Rhinolophus ferrumequinum: one gene and its partner. The protein of the gene in region 1 interacts with the protein of each later gene in a pairwise test. Links are inferred from orthologs where the notes say so. Each region holds a gene or a part of one and is shown in the gene's direction. Other genes may lie near its edges.

Region 1 (7,754 bases):
GAAGTGAGAACTAAATATCAGCAAAGTTCTAAAAAGAGCTACAATATTGAGAGTAAGATTGTTTCCTCTACATTCCTCAAAATTTGTTTTCCTTCTTCCTCCTATATTCCAGGCCCTCCTCCAGAGTTCTGCAAGTCGGAAAACCCAGAAAAAGAAAAAAAAGAAGGTATGTTATGATCATCCCTCTTTGGCAGGGTGAACCGGATCCCTCTTTCTTCCACTTTCCTGGGTTGTGGTAGGGCGTAGATTTCTGTATATCCTTATTTATCCTTATTTTCCCCCTTCTCAGCCCTGACCTAGAGAATTAGGATTTTTGTCCTTGGTCCCCCAGACACTACCCCGAGGTGTTGGAAACTGACAAGTCTTCTTTACACGAATATAGGCTTCCAAGACTGCAGAGAATGCCACCAGTGGGGAAACATTAGAAGAGAATGAAGCTGGGGACTGAGGTGGGTCCCATCTCCCCAGCTTGCTGCTCCTGCCTCATCCCCTTCCCACCACACCCCGGGCTCTGTGAAGTGCAGTTGTCTTCTCCACCCAGGACCACCAGCAGAGCAGGGGTCTCCCTGCCCCCCTCCCGGCCCCGCAACCCAACCCCCTTCCAACAACAACCAGCTCCAACTGACTCTGGTCTTGGGAGGCCAGGCTTCCCAGCCACCGAAGACTACTTTAAATTGAAAAGAGAAATTGAATAATAAAATCAGGAGTCAAAATTCATCGTCTTCAAGCCCCTCTTTCTAGCCTTTTTCTACCACTCTCTGCTTGGTCAAGGTTTATGGCCCTACAATAGAACAGGGAGGAGGCTAAAGTAGCCACTACCACTAAAAATTCAGCTGAAATTTTTTTATACACTCCGAGGTCAGCATTTTTCCATCTGTTGGGGCTTGTTCCTCTCTTTTACTGCTCTCCCCAAGTATGTTACCTGGCCTCAAAATAGAAACTGTTCTTCAGATTGTTTTTATTCACATGTGGCAGATTCCTTTTCTGATCCAGGCTATCTGGTCAGGCCCCTCCCATTTTTAGGAGCTGGAGCCTGCACTTATCAAGGGATTCTCATCTATGAAATGGATCCTCATTTGTAAATCTTTTTAGTCATTTTTGTTCTGCAGGACTCTTCCCCCTTTCCCCCACAAAGCTGTAAAGGAGGAGTCCATTTCAACCTGTCCAATTCTTTGGAGTCAGTGGGGTCTTCCTTTGCTCCATCTTACAAACCTGAGCTGGAACCTCAACTGTGGTTTTGTTCCTGTTTGAAATATTTTGACCTCCCTTCCTTGAAAGAAAGACCAGGAACCAGAGGAGCAGACTGGAGAGACAACTCCTGGCTTTCTGAAGCTATGGACTTGAATTGGATGAATCGCTAGGGGATTGGAGAGAAAGGTGACGAATTTCAGTACCTCTGGCATGCTGTCCCAGGGAACTAGAGCTCCCACTAACTTATGAGGTTTTTAAACACGTTGAAAATGACATGGTGTTAAAATAAATTTGGATTTGCTCATACTCGTGTGCCTTTGCTACTCTTATTTGCTGGAAGTGCTGGGGAGTGTCTGTTGAAGTGATTGATGATCACTTGGAGCGGTTTTTCTGTTGATATATTCTACTTTTAAAACAAGGAATACTTCCCAACCCAAAAAACATAAATCCTGGATTCTCTGGATTAAAATAGTAAATTTTCTATGTGAGTATGATTAAATTTTCTAAAGTGAAAACATCAACCTTGCTTCTGATAATTTGTTCAGGATTAGTACATTTATGTATACTGCGAAAAATACTATACAAATGTTTATCTTGACTTAGAAAGCCAGGAAGAATTCCTTGAGTATTATGCAATTTTTCAGGGCCAGCCTGAGATGAATAATTTATTAGATTTGAGATTTATTCAATCTTACACGTGAGGCATGCAGATCTGTAGATACTACAGTGAAACAAAACACGACTCTTCATAAGAGCTTATAGACGAGTGGACAATCAACAGGTGAAATCCTGGGGGACAACATAAAATAATTGTGCTAGGGTTTTTATTTTTGTCTTCAAAAACTTGTTATATTCTGATGGTGAAAATACTAGAACTTCTTAAGCACTTGGAACAAGGGCCCCAACTTTTTAAAAACCTTACTTTAATAGTTAAATGGTGACATGTTATTGAATAAATTATAAAGGGAAACCACCACACAGGAGGGATTATAAAAACTATAAAGTATCAAAGTGAATAAGGTGAAGTCAGTGGTTAAGGATTCTTCTCCATTCTTCAGAATTCGTTCACTGTAGCCAAATCTTTGGGTATTTTATTTACCAAGGGCTTCTGACATGTCTGTACCCTGAGACTGGGAAGTTATTTATCTTAATACCACATACCACCCTTGCCCTAGAGAAGATCTGATCTTCCCCTCTCCATTGGCTTGATCCTTACCACCAGGTAGGGAGGATCACTGAAGTATCTTTTGAACAAGATACATTGTGACCAACATACATTGTGACATTCTGCTTCAGGTATTGTGGGGGGAGAGCATAGTTGGAAAGTTTACAATACTGACAGTTTGGGGTTTTTTTTGTAGTATGACAGCTTACTTAACTCCCCAACTTTACATTCTTCCGTGTTCTGGAACCTTAGGACATTCGGAGGTTCCGCGATCGACTCTCCCTGCAGCAATTTAGTTTGGAAAATAAGGCAAACCAGTAAAACATTTTTGTACAGTCTGCACCCATCCATAATAAAATGGAGGGTGTCGCCAAGGAAACTGCAACTCCCATGAAGCAATGAGAGGGAAGACGGAAATCGCTGTGTTTTGCTCGTCTGCACCTCTAGGTCCCATATTGGAAATAGGTGCTCACGTTTAAATAATACAATGTCCTCATAATAAAACGGAAGGGGGAATTTTGTAACTCAAAAATACTGCTTTCCAAAGGAATTAAATCACTTATGCACCTGAGAAGGGCCGGAAGCCATTGTTACTCCCCTTGGGCAGCCCCGCCCCCGGGGTGGGTAGGGCGAGGCAAAGGAAGTGACGACACTGAGTGCTCCCTTAAATGGCGGTAGGCGGGCGCTTAGCGCTCTCTCGGCCTTAGCGTCATCTTCTTGGGTGAGTGTGCGGCCTGTGTGCGGACTTCGGGTACAATCCATTAACATCTCGTCTCTGCCCTTGCCATCGTTACGGCAAACTAACTGTGGCCTTTTTCTCTTTACCCGTAGATACCTCCGCGCCATGAGAGCCAAGGTAAGCAGTTCCTGGTAGTGAGCTGAGGCTGCAGTAATTGATGGCTGGGGGTGGAGACCCAGGCACGGGAAGTCCGCCATGATTCCCTGAACCGATGGGTTCTCAAGGGTGCCAAGACCTAGTGGGAGATGAAGGATAGTTTGGGGAGAAGCGGAGCTGGTTGGGTAAGTGTTGTGTGGAGAGTGGGGAGTGGAGGAGCGCACGCGGGATTCGGTGTTTACTTTGGGGTGTTGGGTTGGGAGGCCAAATTGTTGATGTAATTACTGAGACTGAGCCCTCATGTTTGGTCAAGAACTTGCCTGGTTCTAAATAACGCTCTTCACATCCCTACCTAATCCTGATTCTAAAACTAATGACCTTTTGTTTTATTCCTTGTCTCTGGTTATGATCGGTTGCCAGTGGAGGAAGAAGCGAATGCGCAGGTATGTTGAGACTGCTGGCACGGGAGGAGGGAAGTGGAGCGTGCCTTGGGTCAAAGCTTGGGAGGAACATTTGGTGAACTTAGGTGGAAAATGTTTTGAGAATTGACTTGTCAGAGCCAGGGATTGGACACAAGACAGTAGAATGGAGTGCATGATCGTTTTATCACCCTGCGTATCGTATGTACGTTTAAGATGGGAGGGAAAGAGTGAACCTCGGGTTTATGGGCAGGAAGTGTACTCCCGTGTCTGCTTTTCAGGCTGAAGCGCAAAAGAAGAAAGATGAGGCAGAGGTCCAAGTAAACCGCTAGCTTGTACACCGGTGGAAGCCACAGGAGCAGAAATGAGGAAAGCCAGAGGCCAGGGATACTGCAACAAATTGTTGGACTGCATGCCTAATATCTAGGACTTCTCAATGGATCTAGAACATACATTGCCATCTGTTCCCCGCTACCACCTTTTGAGAAACCCACTTGGCTCGTACAAAAGAGTCCTTTGCTCTGGACCTGTGACATTCTGGACAAGTTCTGTTCTCAGTTGTGGCTGAATGTAATGTGTACAATAAATCATCTGCTGTCTTAGCTGAAGAAACAAAGTCTTGTGTTTTGTGGTTTTTATGGTTCCATTGGCTGGTGGACTTGTATCAGTACAGTCGGCCCTTGCATTAGGCTACATTGGGGGCGGGAAGGGGCGTTGATTACACCCCTAGCCAACATCTGGTCCCTGGCCCTCGGGAGTTAATTAAAAAGTATGGGTAGATCATCCTGAAAAGGGTGTAATGGACGTCTGGGGACAGATGTCGAGACGGTTATGGGCAAACCGTGGTTCCGCCCCTACTCCCGTGTTTAGGCCTACGTTAAATTATACTTTCTGGGTCCTTTACTGTGCTGTTGGGTTGGGTTGCCATGGTGACACGCAAAGCTTGCTGGGACTTCCTGCGGCTTGTCGCGCCAGTATTTCGTACACCATAGAGTATAGTTCCGGGTCTGGTGGCTAGAGTGTCGTTTCTTCCGCAGGAAGCGGAAGGGCGATAGAGTGGGCAGCTCTTTGTCGAAGCTAGAGGACCGGCAGGCGGCAGCAGCAACTACGGCGGCGGCGGCAGGTGAGGGAGGCGGGAGACTTAGGTGGAGGCCGCGCCCGGAGGGGAGGAGTCGGGGCCGGCCCAGCGGCTGGGCTCTGCCGGGCTACACAAGGCCCCCCAGGACCGAGCTGGTTGTTCCTCATGCCCCAGGGCCGAGCCCTTTTTCTGACTGACCCCGCTTCCCGAGCAAACGCCTGCTCCGTGACGTCACAGCCCTGCCCATCCCCTCAGCTTGATGTCATCTGGAGTCCCTCTCCCTGCTTCACTTCGTACTCCCTTAATGTCCTATTCACCTGTCCCATGGTTGAGCTCTGTGGCACTGTACAGAACCTGCCAAGCTAGATTTGCTGTGGGAAACTCCTAGGACTTTTTTCACAAACTCTGGGGTGTTGCGAAGCTTCATAATCACCGCCTCCAAGTCTAATCTGTCATCTCACTGCACTGCCAGTCGCTGTCCTTGCATTGCTCCCTGTTCAGAGTTCCTAACTCCAGCCCTAGGCCAAGCTCTGACCCCCACATCCTCCTCCAACTTGAGGCAGGGCTCCCCTCACCTTTGTTCGCTCAGAGCTGGTTTTCCAACCCGTCCTCCTAGGCTCTCCAAATTCGTTCTGGCAACTTCTCCCTTTGACCGGTGAAGTTCAGTTGGAACCCTGAGGAAATGTTGATGTGCCCAGAGCTCTTGCCATTTTGTCAGTCTTTCTTGTAACAACACCCTATAGTTCTCCATTCTTACCCTTTCTCCCGTCCAAATCTCTCTCTTTTTTTTTTTCCTGTTCAGAACCCAGCAGTGATGTGGAGGTGGAGACCCACAGGAGCCCCGGACTTCACCTGAGCTACCTCAGGTATTGAACAATCCTGGGCGAGTTGGGTGGGGATGAGTATCATATCTGACAATCTGCGTCTGCTGGGACTTGCTACGTGGGTTAGGCTTGGATAGTGGCATTTATTTTTCACCAGGTCATTTCCCTTTTTGTAAAAGTTTGTATCATTTACTACTCTTCCTGGATTGTTTCTGTTATTCTGGGACTATCTCCCTTTGGAGGAGGAGGACCCCTCTTCTTTTACAGATTCTCTTGTAACTCTGTCCTCTGGATCATTTTAGAGCGATCTAGAGGCAAAGTCTAGGCAATGGGGTCGATGGCTGGGGGGAGATGAAGGCCAGAGAAATTGGAAAGATTCCCTTATACTCAAGGGGAAACAATATGAAGTTCTCCTATTTGAACAGCAGGGGGAGCCTGAATACTGCCTGGGAAAGGCTTAGGAGGTCAGACACGTGGTCGCAGGGACTCACAGTCCTGTGGGGGGTGGGGTGAGGGGAGGGCTAGAACCAGGGCAGTGGACTGACATTCCAGAGCTCTCTTGGGAAAGATGAGACTTAAAAGCTTTTATAGAGTCTATAAATAAAGAGGATCTTTATGGGGTGAGGAGTGGTGTGGTTAGATGTCAGTGGTATCTTCCCATGGAGGGTTAGGAGGGGATAGAATGGGCGAAGTAAGGTCACTTGTTCCTATGAAATTAACTCCTTCCTCCTGCCTTGACCTTGTCACAAATGGTTTTGTTCTTGGGAGTCTATAAGTGGAGATGTTGTCACTGTAGAACTCTTCCCCTGAAATGGAGTGGTGGGGGCTGACCACACTGGGGTTGATGGTGGTGGTGAGCTGGGAGAGAATACTGAGAAAATGACAAGTTTAGGGACTGACCTCAAGCCGGTGACACAAGTCTCTTCACTCAGGATTTCCTGGGTCTAGAGATATGATACGTGACAGAGCCCTCATCTGAAATCCCACGGAAAAGGGGTTAAGGGAAGTTTTGTCATCAGTATCTCATTATCCACAGCCCTAGTAGCTCACCAGCCCACCTTGGCCACGATTCCCAATCTTCTCCTAACCTAGTCAGACGCCGACAGCAGTTTTAATTTCACTTCCGCAACTTTAATAAGGTCAGTTCAAAGGGGAAATAAAATCCAATACTATCTCTCCCTGCCCCCTCCTTGGCCTGTCATCATTAGTGAGACGAAGTGGCTTCACCCCAGCTCCCTCCCTTCTCCATTAGCCCAGCAAGTGTGAATCATTCCCACCCAGACCAGGTGCACAAAGGCCTGGGCGGGACTTCTGACAAGTCAGCCAGTCCAGGCAGAATTCTCATCCCTTAGCTTCTCCATCGCCAAAGCCATTGCCTCTCTGTCCTGCCTCTCGTCAGACGGCCTACTCTATAGTTAGGAAGAGTGGCCTCTGGAGGACTCCTGTTTGACACAGTTCTCCTCTTTCCTAGTGGTCACCAAGGGTGGCAAGAAAAGGAAGAAAGCCCTGAATTGGGGGGGACCAGGATGCCTGATCGGGACAGCTATGCCAACGGCACTGGGAACAGCGGTGGAGGCCCTGGAAGCGGTGGCAGCGAGGAGGCCAGTGGGACAGGGGCAGGCAGTGGCGGGGCCAGCTCAGATGCCATCTGTAGAGACTTCCTGAGGAATGTATGCAAGCGAGGCAAGCGTTGCCGCTATCGTCATCCAGACATGAGTGAGGTGTCCAACTTGGGGGTAAGCAAAAATGAGTTCATCTTCTGCCATGACTTCCAGAACAAGGAGTGTAGTCGCCCAAACTGCCGATTCATCCATGGCTCCAAGGAGGATGAGGACGGCTATAAGAAGACAGGAGAGCTTCCCCCTCGGTTGAGGCAGAAAGTGGCAGCAGGCCTGGGCCTTTCTCCAGCTGACCTACCAAATGGCAAGGAGGAGGTCCCTATCTGCCGGGACTTTCTCAAGGGTGACTGCCAAAGAGGAGCCAAGTGCAAGTTCCGTCACCTGCAACGGGATTTTGAGTTTGACGCTCGGGGTGGAGGAAGCACTGGTGGTGGGGGCTCAACAGGCCCAGTCCCCCCAGGACGACGTCATGATCTCTATGATATCTACGACCTCCCTGACAGGGGCTTTGAGGACCATGAGCCAGGCCCCAAGCGCCGGCGAGGTGGCTGCTGCCCCCCAGATGGTCCCCATTTTGAATCGTATGACTATAGCCTAGCCCCACCCCGAGGGGTGGAGTGCAG
Region 2 (7,344 bases), on another chromosome or scaffold:
AAAAAGAAGACGAGATGCAATGTTGAAAAATGCCAACCTGATTGCAATTTTAGTCTTTGGAACACCCTGGTAAGAAACCTCGATCAGCCCACAAAACTACTACCTAGCACCGTTCTTCTAAGATGTTACTTTATCGATCTTCAACATTCCTAGCGGGAAAAATGGGGGCTTAAAATGGCTAATATCAGGGGCAGCCAGATGGCTCAGTTGGTTAGAGTGCGAGCTCTCAACAACAGGGTTGCTGGTTCAATTCCCACATGAGATGGTAGGCTGGGCCCCCTGCAACTAAGATTGAAAACAGCAGCTGGACATGGCTGAGCTGTGCCCTCTACAAGTAGATTGAAGGACAACGACTTGGAGTTAATGGGCCCTGGAGCAACACACTGTTCCCCAATAAAATAAAAAAAATTAAAATTAAAAAAATTTGCTAATTTCATACGTGATGATTAAGTCCCTGAAAAAAATTGTGATTAAAAAAAGTTTCTGATTCATAATCCATAAATACAGTAAAGACCAGTGTAAGATGAGGGACCCTGTAGCCTTGGACCTTGGAATAAACCTGCATGCACGGTCAGCCCTAACTTAAAATTAGACTGACAAGAGAAGTGAGCCCAAGCCTATTGCCTGAAAAGGAGGTAAAGGGGATACTGAACCCTCAATGTCACTCCTTAAGTTCCCAATAGGTAGGGTCTAAGACGTCACATCCAGGACCCAGCTGATGTGACCTGGCCTCTGGCTAACTGCCCATGGTGACCACAAACAAGTATGCAGTTTAAAAGGCAGTGATCGTTTACAATTTAAATGTGATTGAACAATGGTTCTTCCCTACTACATAGGCTGAGGCAGGTGTGTGTTTTAAGTTCATTGCCCTGATTCTTTCAACCTATACTAATAAATGGGTAGGCCTTAGCCTAAGGTCTGACAACTGATTCACTGGCGATTTTTTAAAGTTTTGAAATTGTCCACCTTTAAGTCCATATTTTGGATTAAGCTTTTAAGCCATTTGTTTTTGGATAAGACAGTAACCTCCACCAATCAAGTAAATCTTCACTTAGAGCCTTGGATTTCCTTGCCTGGGCATGGAGAGGTCGGTGACTCCATTCTTCAGACAATGGGACTTCATGGCCTCTAAACTCTTCTGTAAATTTTCGTAAGTTGGCTTGTGTGAAGCCCTTTTCTTTGTAATCTGAGTACAAAGAAAGAATTCAAACTTCTATTAGTCTAAATTGATAGCAAAAGAAAGCCATCACATTCTCCCAACATCCTGATAAAATGATGACTGCATTTTTATAGAATAGTCTAGAGCAAGGATGAAAAATAGTGTCCCGTTCAGTGATGGGAGGTCCTCAGGAAAATCCACTACATAGGGCCTAAGAAACCCAGACATTGCCACATAATAATCTTTCCTTTTCTCAAGACGCCCAGGAGGTTAACAGGCTGTGCCTACTGTCTATTGTTTTTCAGCAAGGTAGGTGAAAGTCTTTGTGCCACTTCCAAGAGATAAACTGCAAATCTCTAGTTAAAGGAAGAACCGAATACTACCTGAAAATTTCCTGTTCCGTCTATTTATTTAGAAACCATGCTTGCTTGCTTTTTGTTTTTCTATAAAAGAACAGAGAAACTGGTAGCGTCCCAAATAATACTGGGAATAACATCAGCCTTAAAGATAGCATTCATGAACCCACTCAGTGTGCTGTCCAAAACAAGCTTCTAGTGGGTTGCCTATAACTCACCCAGCACCATCACCAAGAAGCCACACTCTTTCTGGGGCCGAAAACCATTTGGACAGTGGAAGAATCTCACACTGAGGCAGAGGAAGGAAAGGAGTTAAGCGCATTTGATAGGGAAGAATGAGAGGAAAAACTCCTTTGAGCAATGTCTCGTTTCTGTCTCACTATGACTAGTTATCCCTAACTTTTTGCAAATCTTAGAACACAGACCTTTGGTTGATGTCACAATACTCTTTCCCATGGAACTAGGATGCAGCTTCATGTTCCTTTCTAACCCACAGCTCCAAATCACCACCACCACTGGATCTGAGCTGGCATGAGATCAGAGGCTTTTTGATGTCTTTGCCCGTCTAGAATGATCAACACAAATTCCGCACAGCTCCCCGGGTCACCAACCCTTACAACTCGGAGAGTTATCTTACCAAGTAATATATATATCGCCCATCTCTCTTCAGAACAGCCACTTCTCCAGATTTCTTTTCTAAGAGAAAGTTATTTCATAGAAAGGAAAATCAAAACACTTATCTCCATTCTTAGATTTTAAGAAATCTTTACAGATCTGAGTTAACCTCAGAACTGGAAATAATCTAAAGAAATCTATTGTCTCCTATGAACACTTTGCTTCTTATCAGCATTCCTAAATACTGCATTTTCTTAACTTCTACCTTCTTTAATTATGTTTTCTCAATGTTTTCCTCACCCCCTATCTTTTGTCCTGCCCTTATTTTCAAATACACCCTTATTTGTTCACTTAAAAAACTTTAATGTGTAGTTTTTTTGCCTTGAAATATTTTAGAATGTACAGCATTTTTCATTTGCCAACTGTGTGTTCATTCAATAATGATCTTTTTACATACAAAGAGCTAACGTTTAAGCGTTACAGAGACCACAGGTGTATAAAAAGGTTCCTAATTATTATGAGTTTTCAATCAAGAAAAGGTGTCATGTTTACAAATAACAATACAAAGCAATAAGAAATTGCTCTTTTAAAGGCTGGCATCAGAATTGCCAGTGGAGACCCTGATTAAGCCTGGACTGTGGTCTGAGCAACTGTTCCAGAAACTCCACATGATTCTGATACACATCTCTGATTTAAAATCATTGGTAGAAAGTGATGGGGGGGTCTATAAGGAAGCGGAGGATTCTAAACTCCTGAATGCGATATCCGTGAACAGAGGATTCTGAATGCCAAGCTAATGCCTGTGGACTTTGCTACGCACTCCAGTGTTATTAAGGGTTTCCGAGAAGTGGAGTATTATTCAGTTTTATGACAGAGGAGGAAGAGATCAGCGACTTTTACAAGAATTCAGGTTAGGTGTGATAAGGACCCAAACTAGAGACCAGTTTTGTGGAGGAAAAGCTGAATCTGATGAGTTAAAAGTACTCCGTGGTTATGAACTCGCTCTTTGCATATGTATCTTGTTTAATAATTAAAGTATTAATATAACACAGTCAAAAGAGGCTCTAGTGAGGGCAAGTTAAACTGTTTTCAAAACTCACGTTGGTTTAACAGTTCCTGCACCCCTCCAAATTTCTTCTTGAAGAGTACAGCTATCCCAGCCCCCATTCGACAATCCTCACTGATACAGTGGGCTAGAGAGTCTGTTTTGGGGCATGCAAAAAGGTCTCCTTTCACATAAGTGATCTGAAACGGGCAAAGGGAAAGAAAATGTTTTATTAGATACTGAAAAATACTACACTATTACTTTCACTTTCCTTTACTGTGTCCTCCGCCCCACCCCTCATTGAAAGCCAAATCCTCAGAATTTAAGGGGTTAACCACAATGAATTAAAGCTTGTGTAAAGAAAAGTGACAGACGGTCTCTGCCTAAGTTGTATTAGCCTTTCTGAAGTAAACCAGCTAGAGGGGGGGAAAAAGACAATTCAATTATTGGTTTAATTAAAAAGTGTTTATGCTTGTAACCTCAATTATTCTGAATTTCAGTTCACCACTAAGTTAACAGTTGTTACCCACTCTGCTTCCTTCTGGATCTTCATTAGGGCTGCCGGCCATGATACTGAGTCGGTATCTCCAGAATTAAAATGTTTCTTCAGCTACGAGAAGGGAAAAGGACAAATGCTTAGGCAGCCTGAATATATTATAGCCAGATCGCCCCGACCACCCCCTTGTTGCCCCAACTGAAAGTGAGTTCGTTCAGCCTCTGGAAGGAACACAGAAGTGCTCTGGGGCGAGGCAGCCTGCCTAGGTTCGCAGGCAGCCAGGCCCGCTAGTATTTCGCGCTTTCCTGGAGCGCCCCGCTCCGCCAGCGAAGAAAAGGCGGCCCCACGACACGCCTCCTCCTTGGCCCGCGCCCGAGGCGGGCGGATTTAGGACGGGCTCCTTAAACTCAGTAGGTTTGGCCTACAAGAAAAAGGGAGGGGCTTGGGGCCGCAACTAGGGAGTGTACGGACCAGGGGGAGTGTACTGCCCGGCCGTAGGCAAGAGGAGAGGAAAGGTGGCCTCTCAAGAAAGGCTTCCTCCCCTTTTGGGGGGTAGGGCAAGAAGTCTAGAGAAGCCTCCCATTCTCTGTTTCCTACCCTACGGCGGGTCAGCGAGGTGCAGAGCCTGTCCCGGAGTCCCGGGGGAAGGAGCGGGAAGGCTCGCTCAACGCCCCAACGTACCAGTTACCCTTCACCTGGAGTCGGCGTTACGAGGTCCCGCCCCACGGGAAAGGGCTCCAGATCCGGCCCTGGTAGGTGGGAAACAGCAGACAAGTCCAGACGCGGAGCCAATCCCGCCACAGCCCTTTAATTGCACGCACCTAAGATGGCCGCCCACTACCCGGGAGCGATGCGGAAACGAGCCCCTCTAGCTAGCTAGCCGAAACTGCACTCTTTGGTTATGGCCGCCGAACTTCCGGCGGTGAATTCTGCGGAGTCTCCTGCCGCCACCCGGGCATGCGTAACGAGACAGCCGACCTCGAGCGGGGGAAAAACGGCGCTTGCGCATTAGCCCCAGAGGTGTGTCTCCAGTGGCCGCATAGAAAGGGGTTGGAGGTTGGCAAAGAAGCTAGTTAGCGCCTGCGTAGTATTGCGTTCAGAACGGTGTTTGGAGTCGCACGGTTTGGGGCGTGCCCAGGGCGCCTGCGTATTCCTCCGGTCGGTAGTGGTACCTAATTAGGAAAGTGGGCGTGGTTTAAGGGGACGCCTGCGCAGTGCTCTTTCAACGGGGGTGGGGCGAGCCCCGAGCGGGGGGTTAGGGGGCGTGGCCTCAGAGGCGCCTGCGCGGAGGCGGTTGGAGGGAGGCCCGATTCCCCTTTGTTCGGGTTCGCCATTTTGCGAGGCAGCGGCAGTGGCGGCGGCAGCGGCGGCTGGAGCCTCTGATTGGGTTTCGGAGTCCGGTACTGGAGCCAATCAGCGCGGGCAGCGAACCGGGGGAGCGAGGCACGGTGAGTGTGAGGAGCCAATATCCAGCGGCCCAGAGCCGGCCCCAGCGCCCCGATTGGCGGGTCTCGCTGACCACTCAGGAGAGGCCCAGGCGCCCGTCGAGCCTGGGGAGTCGAGCTGAGCCTAGCCGAATGGGGTGGCTGGGGCCCCCGGCTGGGAGCCTGCGAGCGCCGCGGGGCACTCCCGGCCGAGGCCTGCAGGGGGCCGCCCCGCACGGAGATGGCGCCCCCGGGGGCAGGCACCTCGGGGTCCAAACACTTGCAGGGTGCCGGAGCCAGTTGGGGATGCGTCCCGGTTCCCCCAACTCTTAGGCCCCGGTTCTCAGGCCCCAGGCTCGGGAGTGGCGGGCTTGCCTGCCACGAATGCCCCTACGCTCAGGTACACACACGCGCACGCCTCGCTGCCTCGGCGGTTTTCTCCTGGTGGTTCCGACCTCACACTTAAGCCCGCCCTTGCTCTCTTCCCGCTCCGGCGCTCGGGACGGGACACCTCCCCCCGCGGGGCCCGCGTACCCCAGCCCTCCGTGAGCTGGGTCTGTCTGTCGCCCTCCTGGGTCCGCAGGGAAGACTGGGCAAGACACGTGCCATGACCCACAGGGCCCGAGTGCGGCGGGGAGAGGGGGCCGGCCCGCCCGCCCGCCCCCGCCGTCTCCGCGGACCGGATGGCGGGGAGGCCGTCTGCCCACTCCCCCTACCCGCTGCGTCCCTCCCAGCACGCTCGGCCCGGGTCTGCGGCCCGGCGCCGTTGCCACCCCCTTTTTGGCTCGTCATTTCCTCTAATCCCCGCCCCGCTTGCCAGGCCCGACCCGCACACCTCAGTCTTGGAGCCCAACCAGACCGTCTCCCTTTCTCCCCCGGGCGCCAAGGCCCGTCCGTTCGCTGCCTGGAACCTCACTTGGAGAAAACTGCTGGCCCTGTGCGTTCCTTTTCCCGGAGGCTGCACAGCTTGCTTACGATTTGGTTACTCATCCGTCGCTCATCGTGCGAACGCTCCTTCCCCCGAGGATGTACAATTCATTTTTCTTTCACCTTTCTGTGTCACTTTGAACGTGTCCGGCTTGACGCAGTTAGCTCAGTCCACAGCTGTCTCTTGGTTTATTTTTTTATAACATCCTTTCTAATTCCATGTTGACATGTTCTCAACAGATGTCGTGGGGTTTTCATTAGGATTAGGAGAAATACCTGTTGACAGGCAAATCTGGAGCAGTTAGTGTGGAACAGACGTACGTCTCTGTGCTGGGGTGGGAGTGGGTAAAGGTAAACGAGCACCTTCCCTGCTGGTGGAGATTGACAGGTGAACAACTAATACCTAACGGTTAGTGGAATAACGGGACCAAGTTCAGTTCTGCAAAGTACAGTACTGGTGTGTGAGCTACCAGTAGCCTCGGTGGAAGGCTTAACACAGCCACACTTCTGATGGGCCTCCAAGAAGGATGGGGTTTCTTCTAATGGGACAGAATACAGGAGCCTTGCTCACAGAGAGAAGAGCCTGGGGTGAGGCACCACATTGTGCCGTGTGCTCAGAGGGTAGACGGGAAAGGGCAGTGGGCAGCAGTGGGGACGGTTTAGGCCAGCTGGTAAAAGCACTTGTCTATCTTAGGGAGGAATATTTTGTAAGATTGGAAAAACAAACTTCGGACTTGTGGGATTCTGTCCCATAACAGTGGCTGGCTTCTTTTGGGGAACAAAGGGAATTTTCTTCCCTCAGACGTTAACAGTTTGTATTTATGTGAAGTGCCTAGTGCAATCCCTAGCACATAGATTAAGGTATGCGGTGCTGGTTTTTATAATCACATCTACTAAGCTCATACAACTACTAGGTTTCAGAAAACTCCTAGTCCAGTGCTCTTTTACTGTTAAAACTTGGGAGACCGTTTTTGTTTTCACTTTTTAGGGCGAATTTTTCATTGTTTAAATCATTTTTTAAAAATTCAGTTAATTATTATCCACGTTAAAACAAGAGGCAATTTGTCTTAGATATTTTTCAAAACACGTATGTATCTGGTGACTTGAAAACAACCACTTTTGCTAGATGTTCTAAAAGGCAGTTACAGTCTGTTTACTTTTTTGCGGACCATCTGTAGAGCCTCCACCTGTCTGCAGAGGAACTTCTTTGCCTGGAATTTTGAGAGACAGTAGTCTGGCCTCTTTCACTTGACAAATGGGGCTTTTTAGTCTTGTTTTTCATGCTGGCTCTTCATTTGGAGTACTCCACATCATCACATATA

What was found. The genes of interacting proteins can lie anywhere in the genome.
Region 2: the proteins of ZC3H10 (region 1) and NFYA interact in binary tests that used the Homo sapiens proteins (3 or more experiments, as listed by UniProt). The two-hybrid records come from large-scale screens. The link is inferred for Rhinolophus ferrumequinum from reciprocal best matches to the Homo sapiens genes ZC3H10 and NFYA.

What each region holds. Positions count from the first base shown.
Region 1 is NC_046293.1:55,478,431-55,486,184, forward strand, and holds the start of ZC3H10 (zinc finger CCCH domain-containing protein 10), read left to right. Parts: upstream 1-4,656; 5' UTR 4,657-4,733; intron 4,734-5,490; 5' UTR 5,491-5,554; intron 5,555-6,983; 5' UTR 6,984-7,038; coding exon 7,039-7,754. Other genes in the region: PA2G4 (proliferation-associated protein 2G4), read left to right, coding at 113-166, 383-448. UniProt on the Homo sapiens protein: Specific regulator of miRNA biogenesis. Binds, via the C3H1-type zinc finger domains, to the binding motif 5'-GCAGCGC-3' on microRNA pri-MIR143 and negatively regulates the processing to mature microRNA.
Region 2 is NC_046286.1:10,792,054-10,799,397, forward strand, and holds the start of NFYA (nuclear transcription factor Y subunit alpha), read left to right. Parts: upstream 1-4,295; 5' UTR 4,296-4,423; exon of another isoform or gene 4,424-4,691; intron 4,692-4,972; exon of another isoform or gene 4,973-5,119; intron 5,120-5,128; exon of another isoform or gene 5,129-5,495; intron 5,496-7,344. Other genes in the region: ADP-ribose glycohydrolase OARD1, read right to left, coding at 1,074-1,186, 2,153-2,211, 3,231-3,375, 3,706-3,744. UniProt on the Homo sapiens protein: Component of the sequence-specific heterotrimeric transcription factor (NF-Y) which specifically recognizes a 5'-CCAAT-3' box motif found in the promoters of its target genes.